Linked DNA regions of Pelodiscus sinensis. The protein of the gene in region 1 interacts with the protein of each later gene in a biochemical or structural test. Links are inferred from orthologs where the notes say so. Each region holds a gene or a part of one and is shown in the gene's direction. Other genes may lie near its edges.

Evidence for each region.
Region 2: the proteins of ARHGEF12 (region 1) and IGF1R form a complex in vitro, tested with the Homo sapiens proteins (2 studies listed by BioGRID and IntAct, with this or other methods). The link is inferred for Pelodiscus sinensis from reciprocal best matches to the Homo sapiens genes ARHGEF12 and IGF1R.

What each region holds. Positions count from the first base shown.
Region 1 is NC_134736.1:4,763,550-4,771,519, reverse strand, and holds the start of ARHGEF12 (rho guanine nucleotide exchange factor 12), read left to right. Parts: upstream 1-4,928; 5' UTR 4,929-6,397; coding exon 6,398-6,498; intron 6,499-7,970. UniProt on the Homo sapiens protein: May play a role in the regulation of RhoA GTPase by guanine nucleotide-binding alpha-12 (GNA12) and alpha-13 (GNA13). Acts as guanine nucleotide exchange factor (GEF) for RhoA GTPase and may act as GTPase-activating protein (GAP) for GNA12 and GNA13.
Region 2 is NC_134724.1:8,748,128-8,755,076, forward strand, and holds the start of IGF1R (insulin-like growth factor 1 receptor), read left to right. Parts: upstream 1-3,856; 5' UTR 3,857-5,121; coding exon 5,122-5,206; intron 5,207-6,949. UniProt on the Homo sapiens protein: Receptor tyrosine kinase which mediates actions of insulin-like growth factor 1 (IGF1). Binds IGF1 with high affinity and IGF2 and insulin (INS) with a lower affinity. The activated IGF1R is involved in cell growth and survival control.

The sequences.
Region 1 (7,970 bases):
TCCTTTAAATGGTGCAGTATAAGTGTGCGGTTGTTATTTAACTCCTGTGTTAGTTCTTTGCCCAGGTTGGTTAAATTTGTATATTTGATCTTTAGGAGGAAGTCAGCTCACTGTTAGGGAAGCTACTGGATGAACAAAGCACTAACTTCTGACTTGAGGATGCAAGCATGTCAGTCTCCTTCAAAATATGGAAGGCTGAATTTAAAAATCCGTGTGATTTGCTTTAGGGATGTAATAGTGTAGTTGATTAACTGATAAGCAAAAGTTTATTGGTCAGTGCTATAGACTGCACATGTTCCCCCCCCCCCCCCTCCAGTAAACTTTTTAGCAGGCTGTCCAGCAATCTGGCTCGCGCCGGGTCCAGGACCTACCCCTACCTTGGCTCCGCATTTGAAGTGCATTAGGAGCCAGGCGGGCAGGCAGCCCGGTTCAGTTCTGGCTCACGACACATCTGGGAGCTCAGCCCTCCCATTCCCTGGACAGGGGTTGCTGCCACCCTGCACTTCTGCCTCTGTCAGGACAGCATGGGCAGCCAGTCTGCAAGGGGAGCTGTTTTTTAAACTGGCTCCCCTCACGGACCAGCTCCTGCCTGGCACCCCAGATATAGAGGCAGCAGCGCAGAGTGGCAGGGGGCGCTTCAGGACTGGGGCTGGAGTGCACTGGCTGCCGGTCCCTCCCCCTGGGACTATAGAATAGTCGAGTAACTGATAAGAATTCATTGTTAATCGACTATTCATTTAACCAATATTTAACATCCCTAACTTGCTTTGGCCATTCACTGGTGGTGTTGCAGCCATGTATGTTATGACATACCTTTACAGCTGGGTTGTTTTTTTTCCAATAGATTTTACCAAGTTTTGGGCTCAGTGAAGGTATAACAATATTTTGTTTTTTATCTAGGGCCTTTTACACCAGCCCATCAAGTTTGTTAGATAGAAACTGACAGGATTTGGAATAGATGCCAGGAGTCTTGACTCCCCGTCCATCCGTCTGTTTTAAGCACTAAACTCCCTCCGTGGGAGTCTGAAATGCAGGTTGCAATTGGCTACAACTCCTTTTGCAATTGTGGGTTGTCGTAATGCCGGCTGGCAGGTGCCAAGGGAATGGTGAACCGTCAGTGTGCTCAGATCAGTGTTTGTTTTGACAGTTGGGAAAAGTCTTTCTGGAGGAGGCTCTCTGTTTCTCTCAGTTGTGTTGCAGTACTGTTAGGTCATTGTTGAAACAGATTCTGGATGGGTGGAAAATAACTATGCAACAGGTCTGTGTTGCAGGCAGTTTCCAATTTTGAGTGATGTTGTCTGGAATTCAGCCATTTTTGTCATTTATTGCTCCATAGCTGCCGGGAGGCTCTTTTGTCAAGGCTGCTTATTTACTCCACTGATGAAAAAGTCCGGGTGCTTGTGAAGCACTTTTAAAATCCTGCTCCACCTATTGCTGTTTGTATTAGGAGGAAACCACTCCTTCAGTTCTGCCCTGTGCTTCCTGAGAGATTAAACATTGTGAGTTTCTGGATCAGCTGTAGAGAATTTGCTGAGGATCACCCCATTGACTTAACTCCAGCCACACACTCTCTGGTGGGTGTCACTGGAAAACTTTCCCACCAAGTTGGGCTGTATTTTTAACTTTTTGAAAAGCTCTCTTCTGGAACACACTGCACTGTGTGGTTTTTTTATGTTTTTTTTTTTTTTTAAACTTTAAATCAAGATGGAGGTCAGCCCAGATACAGCAGTCTGTCACGTGGGCAAGGAGGGAAATAATAGTAAAGGAACAAACAGGAAGTAAGTGTAGTCACAGAAGTACAGTGAAGTCTTGCAATGAGCGCTGAAGAGTCCCAACAGAGAGAATCTCCAGACAAAGCGTCATATATTCACGGGCCTTTTCTTTGGAAGTCCCTGTCCCCAAATTGAGTGGCGCAGGACTTCGGAATGAAGAGCAGAAACCATTTGGTCAGTCTCCAGTGGTCTATAGATATGAAGGACTTGCTCAAATACTTGGGGCCTAGCAGTGTGTTACGTAGATCTTTTTTTTTTTTTTTTCTTCAATTCCTTAATAACTGGTTTGGAGGTATGTTGTCATTCAGAGGTTTCTCCCCTGGTCTCTGTTCTTTCTCCAGTGGAGTGTGTAGAATCTCAGTAGCTGTATGAATATGAGACAGCAATAACCTAAATCTGTGGGCTGATCTCTTCCAGTGATGAGGACTCCACCAGGGCCCCAGGATCTGTTTGTCCGTGACAGTTAGCTCAGCTCAGACAAATGATAATGAGCAGGAACAAACTCCCACTGGCAAATACATTTCATCTTCTAGGGCTGCCCTTCCCCCTCCCTTCTCTTCCATTAGGTAGGGAGATGCTTGCTTTAGATTAAAGCACTTTTACTTATAACCAAGTGACTCCAACTTCCATTTTGCAGTTAGTCTGATTACATTATTCTATTTCAGAAGTCTGAACAGGAAATACAGCAGGGAAATTGCCCTATTGCAGGCTATTCATAAATTAATTAAAATAAATATTTCCTTTCTTCCTTGTCAATACTTTAGTGACTGATTGGTCTGGCTCTTGAACTGTTTGAGTTCCTGTATATGTGGAAATCTGTATTGTTTCAGTAACCTAGTCTATGAAGAATGTGTTTAGCTGTTTGCACATTACAGTGGCACACAACATTCTTCATCCTTTGAAGAGGTTTGATTGTGGGTAGCTTCCCTTGGTTGTGTAATGTGTACCTTTGGCACTCAGGGCAGTGTGGGAATCTGAGAGAGGTTTATTTGCTGGCATTTGGATAATGCCGCCATAGAGTGTCTGAAGAGTTGTGACTTCTAGCAAATGTACAGGTGTGTTTGACCTGCGGGATAGGAGCAGCCAGAGTCCTTGAGTGCTTTTCAGCAGGTTAGCTGAGTTTGTGTTTGGAGTATATGGGGTGGGGGGGAACTCCTATAGTTCACATCATACATGTAATTATCCAATATTAGTTGACAGATTATTTCAGTTATTGATTTAAACTTTGTTCAGTTGTTGAGGATTTGAGGACTGTTCCTCCTTCCAAGCTTAAAATAGGAAATAACTTGCAAAGGGGAGGAGGGAATGCATTTCTCAGCTAGTGAGCAAAGTTTAAAAATACAGATGAATCAGCCATCAGGAACTATTAAACTAAGGGCTTGTCTTCACAGGGAAATTAGCCAGGATAATTATACTGGCATAACTCCCTGTGTGCACACTCTTATTCTGGAATAAGCGTGTCTACAGAGGGAGTTAAAACAGTATAATTAGAGGTAGCACAGTAAAATATGCTAGTAAATTTCCCCATGCAGACAAGCCTCAACACCTCATTCCTCTCCTCTCCTCTGCCCCGCAACCTTGCTGCCTATCCCCCTCCTTGCTTGCTGTAGCATTATTTGTGTGCTAGGCATGTTAACTCTTTGCCACTGCTGTGGCAGAAAAGACTATTGACTATTAGCTTGGGGCAAAGGGGGAACCTTAAGTGTAGAAAACTGTTGTAATCACTGCAGCCTCAGGAGTGATGGAATAATCATATTAGTTCTTCTAATGCATCTGGATCATGATCCTAGACTGTCTACAAGGACTGGGAACTTGAAATGTCAACACTGGTGTGTTGTTCTTGTCCCATCCTGGGAACAAGATGGTGAATACGGCCACTCGTGTCCTTGGGGATGGAATTCTATTTTTAGTAGCTGGGAGCACAAATACAGGTATTGATGTCTTGGGGTGTAGTCTGTGCATTCTGAAGTTGGGAGTGTGAAGCGATGCACTAGTGATCTAACAGGAAGATTGTAATGATGACATTAGTGGAAATATTCCTGTTTATGGAGTCAAAATTCTGGTGCCTCTAAAGTTCTCCTGTATTGATCTGTTGGGGAGATTGGGAAAGGAGGGATTTCATAATAGATTGAGAAAATGTTGTTGTAAAAATCTTATGAGGAAAAAAATCAGACATTGTTTCTTTCTGATAATTGGCCCATAACGAGTGCTTGTCCAAGTTTATTTGCTTTGAAAGCATTTTTATTTATTTGCTGGAGAGCTTCTGATGCTGGCGGGTGCTATACTGAGGTACTGGACCTGAAAACCATGCCATTGTCTGCCTTCCTATCCCCTCTTTATTTGAGACAGGATTTTGGCTGCTGTTTGATAACTTGCTCTTGATGAAAGGGATTGGAGAACAGGGTAAACAGAAATTTTATACGTTCTACAATATTATACATAAATTTGTATAACATGCACTTTAAAATATGGAATACCTCTTTGAAATTGATTAAGGGAAAATATCAAGAAAGGAAATATGACCCCCTTTTTAAGAGGAGCTCTGCATATACCGCTGTCTTGCATCAGAAGCCATCCCAGGCAAGTGATCAAGTCAGCTGTGGTGCAGGAGGCAAATAGTTTTTGCTGTGTGCTTCTATGGCAGGCATGTCCAAAGTCCGGCCCGCGGGCCAATTGCGGCCCGTGTTCCGGTTTAATACGGCCCCCCAGGTAATTTGGCAATATCTATCTTTTATGGCCCCCAACGAATCCATATGTATTGAGATGAATACATTGTAAAATCTCAGTTAATGTCAGTTGGTCTAAATCAGTTATAAATATATTTGGACACAACATGTATACTTGGTGTTATGTTCCTGTTCATATTTTTTGAACTTAAAAGTTGACAGACAACCTTTATTACCAATAATATGTAATGTACTTTACAATGTTCCTGACATATACTTCAGCTTCCTGGATTTTTTTTTCATCTGGCCTTCAGATATGAAAGGCAGAGTGATTTAACACCTGTTTAGATTTGTCATCCATGTGACGAAATGAAAAGTGTGCCGTTTGCAATAAACTTTGCATAAAATAGTTAATTTGCATTTAATGTTAATGGTTCAAAGAATGTCAGGCAAAATGGTCGGCCCTCGCGCATGTTCACTTCATCAAATCTGGCCCTCTTTGAAAAAAGTTTGGACACCCCTGTTCTATGGGCATTGTGTTTTCTGTTGGTTTGTCACTGTCTTCATACAGTGTTTCAGCTCCTTTCTTTTCACTGAGTAATCAACTTCCATTTTTGTACCAAAACTTGAAGATGTTATCGTGGTCCTTAAGAAATCCCCAAGGAGCTGCCCTAAAGCAGCCTGCTGTGTGATTTGTAATCTTAGATGTGGTAGGCTAGTATTCTTGGGCACTTCACCAATTTCCCTCAGATACTCAAATTCTCTGCTTAAAATAATATCTATTAGTAGTAAGTTTTAAGCGCATTTATAGCTTTGACAGTTTCAGCCACAGCATGGGTACAACTTCAAGGTTTCTACTACATGAAAAGAAATGTCTTAGCACTGCAGGTTATGTTCAGTGTTAACACAGGCATGCATAAGAAAGAGACAGATGTAGCTCCATCTTTTAATGACTGGTTCTCTAGACTGTCTTGCAAATCTAATCCTAATAGCTATGTGCTCCTCTCAGTGGAGCTCAGAAGGTGGGTTTTACTGAGTAGAGCTAGTGGATTTGTCTGGTGAATCACTCAGGTGAATGATAAATAGGGTCCTTTTGTGAGTTCACAACTCAATGATGTAGTTTCTTCTCACCCTCCCCACTCACCTTGCAACTTTTCTCACTTTTGGGGTTCTTATTTAGTTCCCTTGTGAGAAGTTATTTCAGCTGTGTAGTGCTGATCCTGCATCTGATTGCTCGTCTCTCATTGTCCTTTTGGCCGTTTGGTGTTGTAGAGATGCTCTTTCATTGCATGTAATGAATCTTGAATCGGAGTCCTCATTGAAACACCTACGTACTCTGGGTTCTACACTAGGACCCTAAATACTGTCTTGAGGATATCTCTCCCGTGTGACCCATCTGGAACCTGGAGACTTCTAAATCTTTGCTTGTAATCCTCTACCCATCTTTACCATTCCGCTGAGACATTCTTCTTGGTTTTCCTCCCTCAGTCTGAACATTCTGAGAGTATTTTCTATATTCAGAGGTATAGCACTTGTCTTCTCTGAGGAGTCCTTGCTAAGGTAACTGTAGTGGGGTGGAATGGCCACCCACTGAGCCGGAGGCGGAGGAACCCCTCTGGGAGCCATTTTGGGCCCAGCCTAGCCCCGCCCCCTCACCTGACCAGAAGTCAAAGGGCGGGACTAGGACTATAAGAAGGCTGCCTGGGAGCTCAGTCAGGGCCCAGCCTCCGAGGGAGCCGGAGGCCGGTCCAGAGCTCCTGTCTGGGGAGGCTAAGACCTGGGCTAGGCCGTCCTCAGCCGCCTCCCTGGAGGCCCGCCAAGGCTTCCCTGCCGGGACTACTGAGGCCTTGCCACGCCAGCCAGCAGAGCAACCCGAGGACCCAGAGGACTGTCCCGAACCACTAGACCGGCTGGACCCCCAATGGGTACTGGAACGCCGGGGCCGGACGAGCCCGCGGGATGCTACAGAGCTCCGACCCCTTGACCCCTGGATTGGGCCGCCTGGACCCTGCTGGGACAACACCGACCTCGACTCCACGACGGGCCTGCCGGAGCTACAGGTACCAGGGAAGGGAGAGACGAGAAGTGGCCCAGGGGGTAGCCGGGCGGGGAGCCGCCCGCGGCCAGCAAGTTATGGGCCGGAGCCCTGCTGAGCCAGGCGCAGCCGCCCGGCTGCATTCAGGGCCCCTGGGCCGGGGTGCAATGAGGTGGGTGGGCCTGCGCCCCCCCTGCCACCCTGAACCGGGTGACAGTCTCCCCCCTCACCGCGGCTGCCGACGCCCTCCCGGGCCTGCTCCGCAACGAGGGGCTCCGACGGGTGTGGGGTTAGCTGGGCCGCCCAACTTGAGGGCCTGGCCTAATAGACTATGTTTGGGGGCCCGCCCTGCTCAAGGGCACGGGTTTACCTACGGTGCGGCTGAGACCGACCGTGCGTCGGGCAGAACCCCTCAAAGGGGCCGGACTAGACTGGGTGCCAGGCCCTGACCTGTGCAATACTAGACTGACTGTGGCCCGGACCTGAAGGAAGGCCGGGAGAGACTCGCCTATTAATTTAAGGCGCAGTAATGCAGGGAGGCAGGCGCATCTCCCGCTGCGCCTGGGGGCTGAGGAGCCGCCTCCTGAGGGCCTACCGGCCTATCACAAACCCATCAGTCCCCCGGAAGGGGAAAGCTTAGAGGCTATGGTTGTCACTGCCAGAGGGCAGTGACCTAAAAGGCGACGTGGCGACGAGAGCCACCCGCTACAGTAACCAAACTAATTTAAAACTGTGAGAGGAGTGATTAGAGAATTTGACGGAGAATTTGGTTCTGTTCCCACTTCAGCCTCTGACTTGAACTGTGATGTTGGGCATGTCGCTTCCCTTCTCTGTACTTCAGTTTCCCAATCTGTGAAGTGGAGCTAGAAACTTACTTTTTAGAAATTGTTTGAGATCCTTTGAAAGGCCAGGAAAGTGTCAAGTAGTAAGCTTTAAACATTATGCTTCTACTTAACTCGCTCTATAAATTGTCTACTGTAAATTTGCTCAGGTTTCTGTTAGGAGGAGGCCTCTATCTTGAATTTCTTCAGCCTGATTGACTAATACTATGTACTACAATGATTTTCAAATGCATAGATTATTGCTAATTTGTTAAGCAAAGCATTGGTTGCTCTTCCTGAAAAGCATGTTGAAAGTGGCTGATCTGCAGAGCCTTATAGCCTAAAAGTTGCTTTCTCCATAGTGTGGATTATGAGTGCAACTTTCTTAAAGGGATATCTTGGGGGCCGTGTGAGGGGATGGCACAGAGGACACATTAGCCCCACATTTCACTCTGCGCTTAAAATGTGCGTAACTGTACAAGTAGCATAAAGGAAGTGACTGAAAGGTGGTGGAACAAGTGTGTTGGATGACAGCTGCAACGCTGACAGCTTTTGTGTGTCTTTACGGTATGAAGCCGTCTTTGGAGGATAGCTCGTTGCAGTGCTTTGAGGTAGGAAGGACAAAGGCATGTAGACATGTGAAGCAAAACTAAGAGTATAAGTTACAAACAGGAGA
Region 2 (6,949 bases), on another chromosome or scaffold:
AACAGTTTTGTATCATCTGCAAACTTTACTACCTCACTGCTTACCCCTTTCTCCAGATCATTTATGAGTAAGTTGAAAAGGATTGGTCCCAGGACTGACCCTTGGGGTACACCACTAGTTACCCCTCTCCAATCTGAACATTTACCATTTATTCCTACCCTTTGTTTCCTGTCTTTTAACCAGTTCTCAATCCAAGAAAGGACCTTCCCTCTTATCCCATGGCCATGTAATTTACACAAGAGCCTTTGGTGAGGGACCTTGTCAAAGGCTTTCTGAAAATCCAAGTATACTATATCTACCGGATCCCCCTTGTCCGCATGTTTGTTAACCCCTTCAAAGAACTCTAACAGATTAGTAAGACAGGATTTCCCTTTACAGAAACCATGTTGACTTTTGTCCAACAAATTATGTTCTTCTACATGCTTCACAATTTTATTCTTTACTATTGTTTCGACTAATTTGCCCGGTACTGAAGTTAGACTTACCGGTCTGTAATTGCCAGGATCGCCTCTAGAGCCCTTTTTAAATATTGGTGTCACGTTGGCTACCTTCCAGTCATTAGGTATGGAAGCCGATTTAAAGGATAGGTTACAAACCACAGATAATAGCTCAGCAATTTCCCATTTTAAGTTCTTTTAGAACCCTTGGATGAATGCCATCCGGTCCCGGAGATTTGTTAACATTAAGTTTTTTGTATTTGTTCCAAAACCTCCTCTAATGACATTTCAATCTGGGACAGTTCCTCAGATTCATCACCCACAAAGGACGGTGCAGATTCAGGAATCTCCCCAACGTCCTCAGCAGTGAAGACTGAAGCAAAGAAATCATTTAGTTTCTCCGCAATGGCTTTATCGTCCTTGATTGCTCCTTTTATAGCTCGATCATCTAGGGGACCCACAGGTTTTTTAGCAGGCTTCCTGCTTCCAATGTACTTAAAAAACATTTTGTTATTTCTTTTTGAGTTTTTGGCTAGCTGTTCCTCAAAATCTTTTTTTGCTTTTCTTATTACATGTTTACACTTGATTGGACAGTGTTTATGTTCCTTTCTATTTATCTCACTAGGATTGGACTTCCACTTCTTAAAAGATACCTTTTTGTCCCTCACTGCTTCTTTTACATGGTGGTTAAGCCACGGTGACTCTTTTTTAGGTCTCTTGCTATGTTTTTTAATTTGGGGTATACATTTAAGTTGGGCCTCTATTATGGTGTCTTTAAAAGGTTTCCATGCAGCTTTCAGGGATTTGGCTCTAGTCACTGTGCCTTTTAATTTCTGTTTAACTAACCTCCCCATTTTTGCGTAATTCCCCTTTTTGAAATTAAATGCCAGGGTGCTGGACTGCTGAGGTGTTCTTCCCACCACAGGAATGTTGAATGTTATTATATTATGGTCACTATTCCCAAGCAGTCCTGTAACGGCCCTTGGTGGGTAAAGAAGAGCTAAACGTACACAAATCCATGGGTCCGGACTTAATGCATCTGAGGGTACTGAGGGAGTTGGCAAATGTCATTGAGGAGCCTTTGGCCATTATCTTTGAAAAGTCATGGAGATTGGGAAAAATCCCGGATGACTGGAAAAAGACAAATGTAGTGCCCATCTTCAAAAAAGGGAAGAAGGATGATCCAGGGAACTATAGGCCGGTCAGTCTTACTTCGGGTTCCTGGAAAAATCATGGAAGGGATCCTTAAGGAATCCATTTTGAAACACTTGGAAGAGAGGAAAGTGATTAAGAATAGTCAGCATGGATTCACAAAGGGAAAGTCGTGCCTGACCAATCTGATTAGCTTCTATGATGAGGTAACTGGCTCTGTGGGACGTGGGAAAGTCAGTGGATGTGATATACCTTGACTTTAGCAAGGCTTTTGATATGGTCTCCCACAATATTCTTGCCAGCAAGTTAAGGGAATGTGGATTGGATAAATGGACAGTAAGATGGATAGAAAGATGGCTAGACTGCTGGGCCCAGTGGGTAGTGATCAACGGCTCCATGTCAGGATGGCGGTCGGTTTCTAGTGGAGCGCCTCAAGGTTCAGTTCTAGGACCAGTTTTGTTCAATATCTTTATTAATGGATGAGGGGATGGATTGCACCCTCAGCAAGTTTGCAGATGACACTAAGCTAGGGGGAGAGGCAGATATGCTTGAGGGCAGAGATAGGGTTCAGAGTGACTTAGACAAATTGGAGGATTGGGCCACAAGAAATCTGATGAGGTTCAAAAGGACAAGTGCAGAGTCCTGCACTTGGGAGGGAAGAATCCCAAGCATTGTTACAAGCTGGGGACCAGCCACTTAAGTAGCAGTTCTGCAGAAAAGGACTTGGGGGTTACAGTGGATGAGAAGCTGGATATGAGTCAACAGTGTGCCCTTGTAGCCAAGAAGGCTAATGGCATATTAGGTTGCATTAAGAGGAACATTGCCAGCAGAACCAGAGAAGTAATTATTCCCCTTTATTCGGCTCTGGTGAGGCCACATCTGGAGTATTGTGTCCAGTTCTGGGCCCCCACTACAAAAAGGATGTGGATGCATTGGAGAGGGTCCAGAGGAGGGCAACCAAAATGATTAGGGGGCTGGAGCATATGACTTATGAGGAGAGGCTGAGGGACTTGGGTCTGTTTAGTCTGCAGAAGCGAAGAGTGAGGGGGGATTTGATAGCAGCCTTCAACTTCCTGAAGGGAGGTTCCAAAGAGGATGGGAGAGAGGCTGTTCTCTGTAATGACTTGGTAGAACAAGGAGCAATGGTCTCAAGTTGTGGTGGGAGAGGTCCAGGGTGGATATTAGGAAAAACTATTTCACTAGGAGGGTAGTGAAACAATGGAATGGGTTAGCTAGGGAAGTAGTGGTGTCTCCATCCCAAGAGGTGTTTAAGTCTCGGCTTGACAAAGCCCTGGTGGGGTTGATTTAGTTGGGATTGGTCCTGCCTAGAGCAGGGGGCTGGACTTGATAACCTTATGAGGTCTCTTTCAGTTCTACGGTTCAATGATTCTTTGATTTATAATGGAATTATTTTCAATTTTACCATCAGTTTGTGTGTTATTAAGAGATCAGGCATTTTAGCTGGTATGGCAAAAGAGCAAAGTAAAAGGGTGTAGAGGAGTAAAAGTCCACAGGGTTGCCCTGGATGGCTTGGATGCCTTAATTAAGGACCAGTTTTTAAACATTTTCTTTCTCTTGATGAAAGATTTTTTTTTAAATCTACTTGCTCAATGAAATCTTCATTTTAACATTTTTTTAACTAATCTCCCTTATTGAAGCTGATCACCGGAGCCAACCTCGTCCGTATGCATGTTTGCTTGTGTAAGGCGACTAGGTATTGCTTTGGACGCAGGAGTGAGCCTGCAGGGCTGCTGGAAGGCCTGGCAGACACAAAGACATCAATGCGTTGGTTTACACTCTGTTCACGTCTCGAAGGTTTTCCTTGCAGCCATGAGGACTTCCCTCCAGCTTCGCCTCCGCCCCGCCCTCCCGAAAAAAAAATCATCAGATTCCAGAGCAGAAGCTGGCAACCTCTGCAAAACAAAAACACCGGCCCACTGAGCTAGTGCCATGCCAGTCAGACCCAATGCTATTCCTCCTTGCACGACAGCGGGATGCACGAGACCAAGGCATGGGTGCGTGCGCGCAGAGGAGTTGTTGCAGCCTTACGTGCACTTTGCACGGGGCAGACCTAGAGGGGCTGGGCGCGCGCAGCCCCGTGCACTGGGGCCCGGCTGCAGCTGCAGCAGCAGCAGCGCGCGGTCAGCCCATGGGCGAGGGCGGCAGGGGCCGCGCGCTCTGCTCTTGTCTCCGCCGCCTGGGCTCCGTTCCGGACGGCGCCGACGATTCCTCGCTCCTCTTTTTGCCTCGCGCCTACTCCTCCTCCTCCTGCCCGCCGCTGCTGCGCGCGAGGAGCCCCGGGAGCGCGTGCGTGCGCGCGAGCCCCCCAGTGCCAGTGCAGCAGCAGCAGCAGCAGCGGGCGCCTCTTGTTTACCAGCATTAACTCCGCACCGTGCAAGGGAGCGAGCGAGGAGGAGCGGCGAGGGGGGGAGACCCGGCCAGCCCCGCCGCCAACAGCGACAGCCTTAAACCCCCAGCAGCAGGGCCTCCTTCGCCACCTCCCCCCCCCCCCCTTGGAGGAATTACGGACCCTTTGCAACCAGCTCCTGGGCTTTGACCTTCAGCAAACCGGATTCCCCCCCCTTTTTCCTAGCAGCATTCCCCCCTCCCGCCCCTGTCTTGGGCTGGACAAGAAGGGGGGAAGGTTTGCAGCGCGCACACACGAGCGTCAGTTGTGTTTGGATGTTTGTGGCATGGAGAAGCAGCAGCTAGCAGGGATGCGAGGAGAGCAGCAGCAGCAAGAGGTGGAGGAGGAGAAGTGTTGAGCTGCTCAGCTCTCCCCGCGACCGCTTTGTGTGTTCTGGATTTGTGTGTCTGTGTGTGTGCGTGTGTGTGGGGGGAGGTTGTTTTTTTGGAAGGAGCCTGGGGCAGCAGCAGCGCTGTGAAGCTGGGGAAGCCTTTTCATTCATTTTTCTCCCGCATTTTTTAGGGTCTTTCGGTCCCCCTCCGACTTACTTTTGTGCTGGGGGGCGCTGCAAGGGGGGATTCCCTTGGGAGCAGCCTCTGCTCTCTGCTGAGGGGAATCAACTGTCTTGGGAAGCTTTATTGCCCCTTCCCCCATCAGCTTGCTTTGCCCCCCCCCCCGCTTTTCCCATCCGGTTTTGTGCGTGTGTTTGCTGCGTCTTTGTGGGGTTTGAAAATGGAGGCTGAAGATACAGACTGCCAGCCCCAACGTGCTTCGTGTTGGTTACTCCGGTGCCCCTTGCATCCCTGCAGGCAGCGCTGAGGGGGGAGTGTTGCTCAGCGCCCCCCAAGTATCGCTCGTCCTGGGGGAGCCCCAGCCCGGCGTGGTTATTGTTGTCCGTGCGTAGCTGCTCCGGAAGCACCTCCGCGAGGGGGAGAAACACCTTTGAATTTGCAAACCCAGGGGAGGGTGTTTTTGTGTCTGCGCGTGGGAGGAGCGGGGTGATTTTTTTCCCCCTCTCTCCCAAGCTCCCCCCCCTTAATAGAGCTGGTGTGTGAGTGGAGGGGAAGAAATTTTGGACTTTTTTTTGGGAAAAGGGGATCTTGTCCATAATTTTAAAAAAAAGGAATGAAGTCTGGCGCTGGAGGAGGGTCCCTGACCTTATTTCTGCTCTTCTTCGCCACGCTTTGTCTGTGGCCAACAAATGGAGAAAGTGAGTATTTGGCGTTTCATTGAAACCTGCGGGGTGCAGGGAAACGGGGTGGTGGTGGGCGCGCTTGTTTTGCACTGCGGTGACTTTTGAGTTTCAAAGGCTGCGTGCGTTTGCCTGTTACTGAAGCTGCCCCTTAAGCACATTTAATACCTTGAGTTCAGGCTGCTCTTTCCTCTCAACTCACTTGCGGTGCTTGGCTTGGAAATTCGTTTACCAGAGGTTAGACACTCTCCTGTTTCTGAAGAGTAATAGGTCCACTTGTTTCCTGCCCTTACCCCATAATCTTGTCTTCTGTGTTAATTTCTGTAAGCCTCTCCAGATTTCCCCCAGATAGTTAGATTTTAAACTCCCAAGACTTGTAAGGTGCTCGGTCAACATTGCAAGGCCCAGAAATGCATGCTTTGACTGTTTATAGGGGAACAGTGACTTTAGTAACTGAATGCCTTTTTTAAAAAAAATCAGGTGTTAATACCTTATCACTGAAAGAATTTCAGTAAACAAGCAGATACTGTGTTTTGTTTTTACCTAGCGTGGCTTTCCCTTCTTGGGATGCTCAGATGTAAAAGGATTATAGTCAGCATACGAAGATCACTTAATCTCCTAATTACTTTGTATAGATCTATACAACTTGGCGTGTGTGTGTGTGTGTGTGGGGGGGGGGATATGGAGATGGACGCACGGACTGACACATTGGAAGGACTAGGGATTTAAAGATAAAGAAATCAATACATTAGAAGCTCTGTTTATACCTAGAAGTGAAGTTCTGCGGTTGCTTTTAAAAAAAACTAGCGTGAGTTGTTTTCTTCTCTGTGTTTAAATTCTGCCTTGTGGAAAACGTGGTTCATTGTGTGTTTGTGCGTGCGCGCTCTGCAAATGGTTAAGTCTCTAGTGCACAAAGATGTCTGATGTGGCTTCTTGTTGCTGTTTATCTTTTCGGAATCGCAGGGTCTGTCCGTATTGTTTGGGAGTTGCAAAAAGCCCCGACTTCGGGTTTTTGTTTTTGTTTTTTGCATTTCAAACCTGTGATTATATTATCGTGCCCGCCCCCTTCGGTTGCAGGGGAAAATAGAAGGGGTGTGGATGGTGAGAGCTGAAATGCACTAGATTGCAATTATCTGCATATTAATCGGTGCGGATGATCAGTTTGCCTGTTTTGTTAGCTAAGATTGGATTGTTGGCCCCTAAAATTAACGTTAACTTTGTCCCCCGTTTTTGGCGGTGGGAGTGGTGAGATTGGAGGGACGGTTGTTAAATGGGCCTTTTTATTTCAACCATTTTCACATTGTGCTCGATCTCCCTCTGTTTGTCTTTAAGCGTTTGTGCAGACAGGAGGTTTCCTTAAAGCTAGATCCATTCCTACTAGCTGAATAGTGTAACTTTTGAAAAATCTTGAACCACTGGTTAACGTAACCAAATTTTACTTTTTAAAAGGTGTGCGTAGGAGAGAGCGTGTTGCATCTGTTAATATCTGAGGAAAGAATTCCTGAAACTAAAAAGAAAAAAAATCATATGGGCAAACCCTTAAGTAGTAGATTTAGCTCGGAAAATAAGTTCTGTGGATGTACCGGCAATTAAACCAGTTGTAGAAATGTTTTGGGCAAGGCTAGGGTAGATGGAATCTTTAAGGCATGTTGAGTAATATTGTATTTCGTTAGACAGTGAATGCCAATTAACTCTTTAAAAGTCAGGGCACAACTTGGCTTTTAACATTGTGATGTTGGGTCAGCAAGGGCTGGGGAGAGT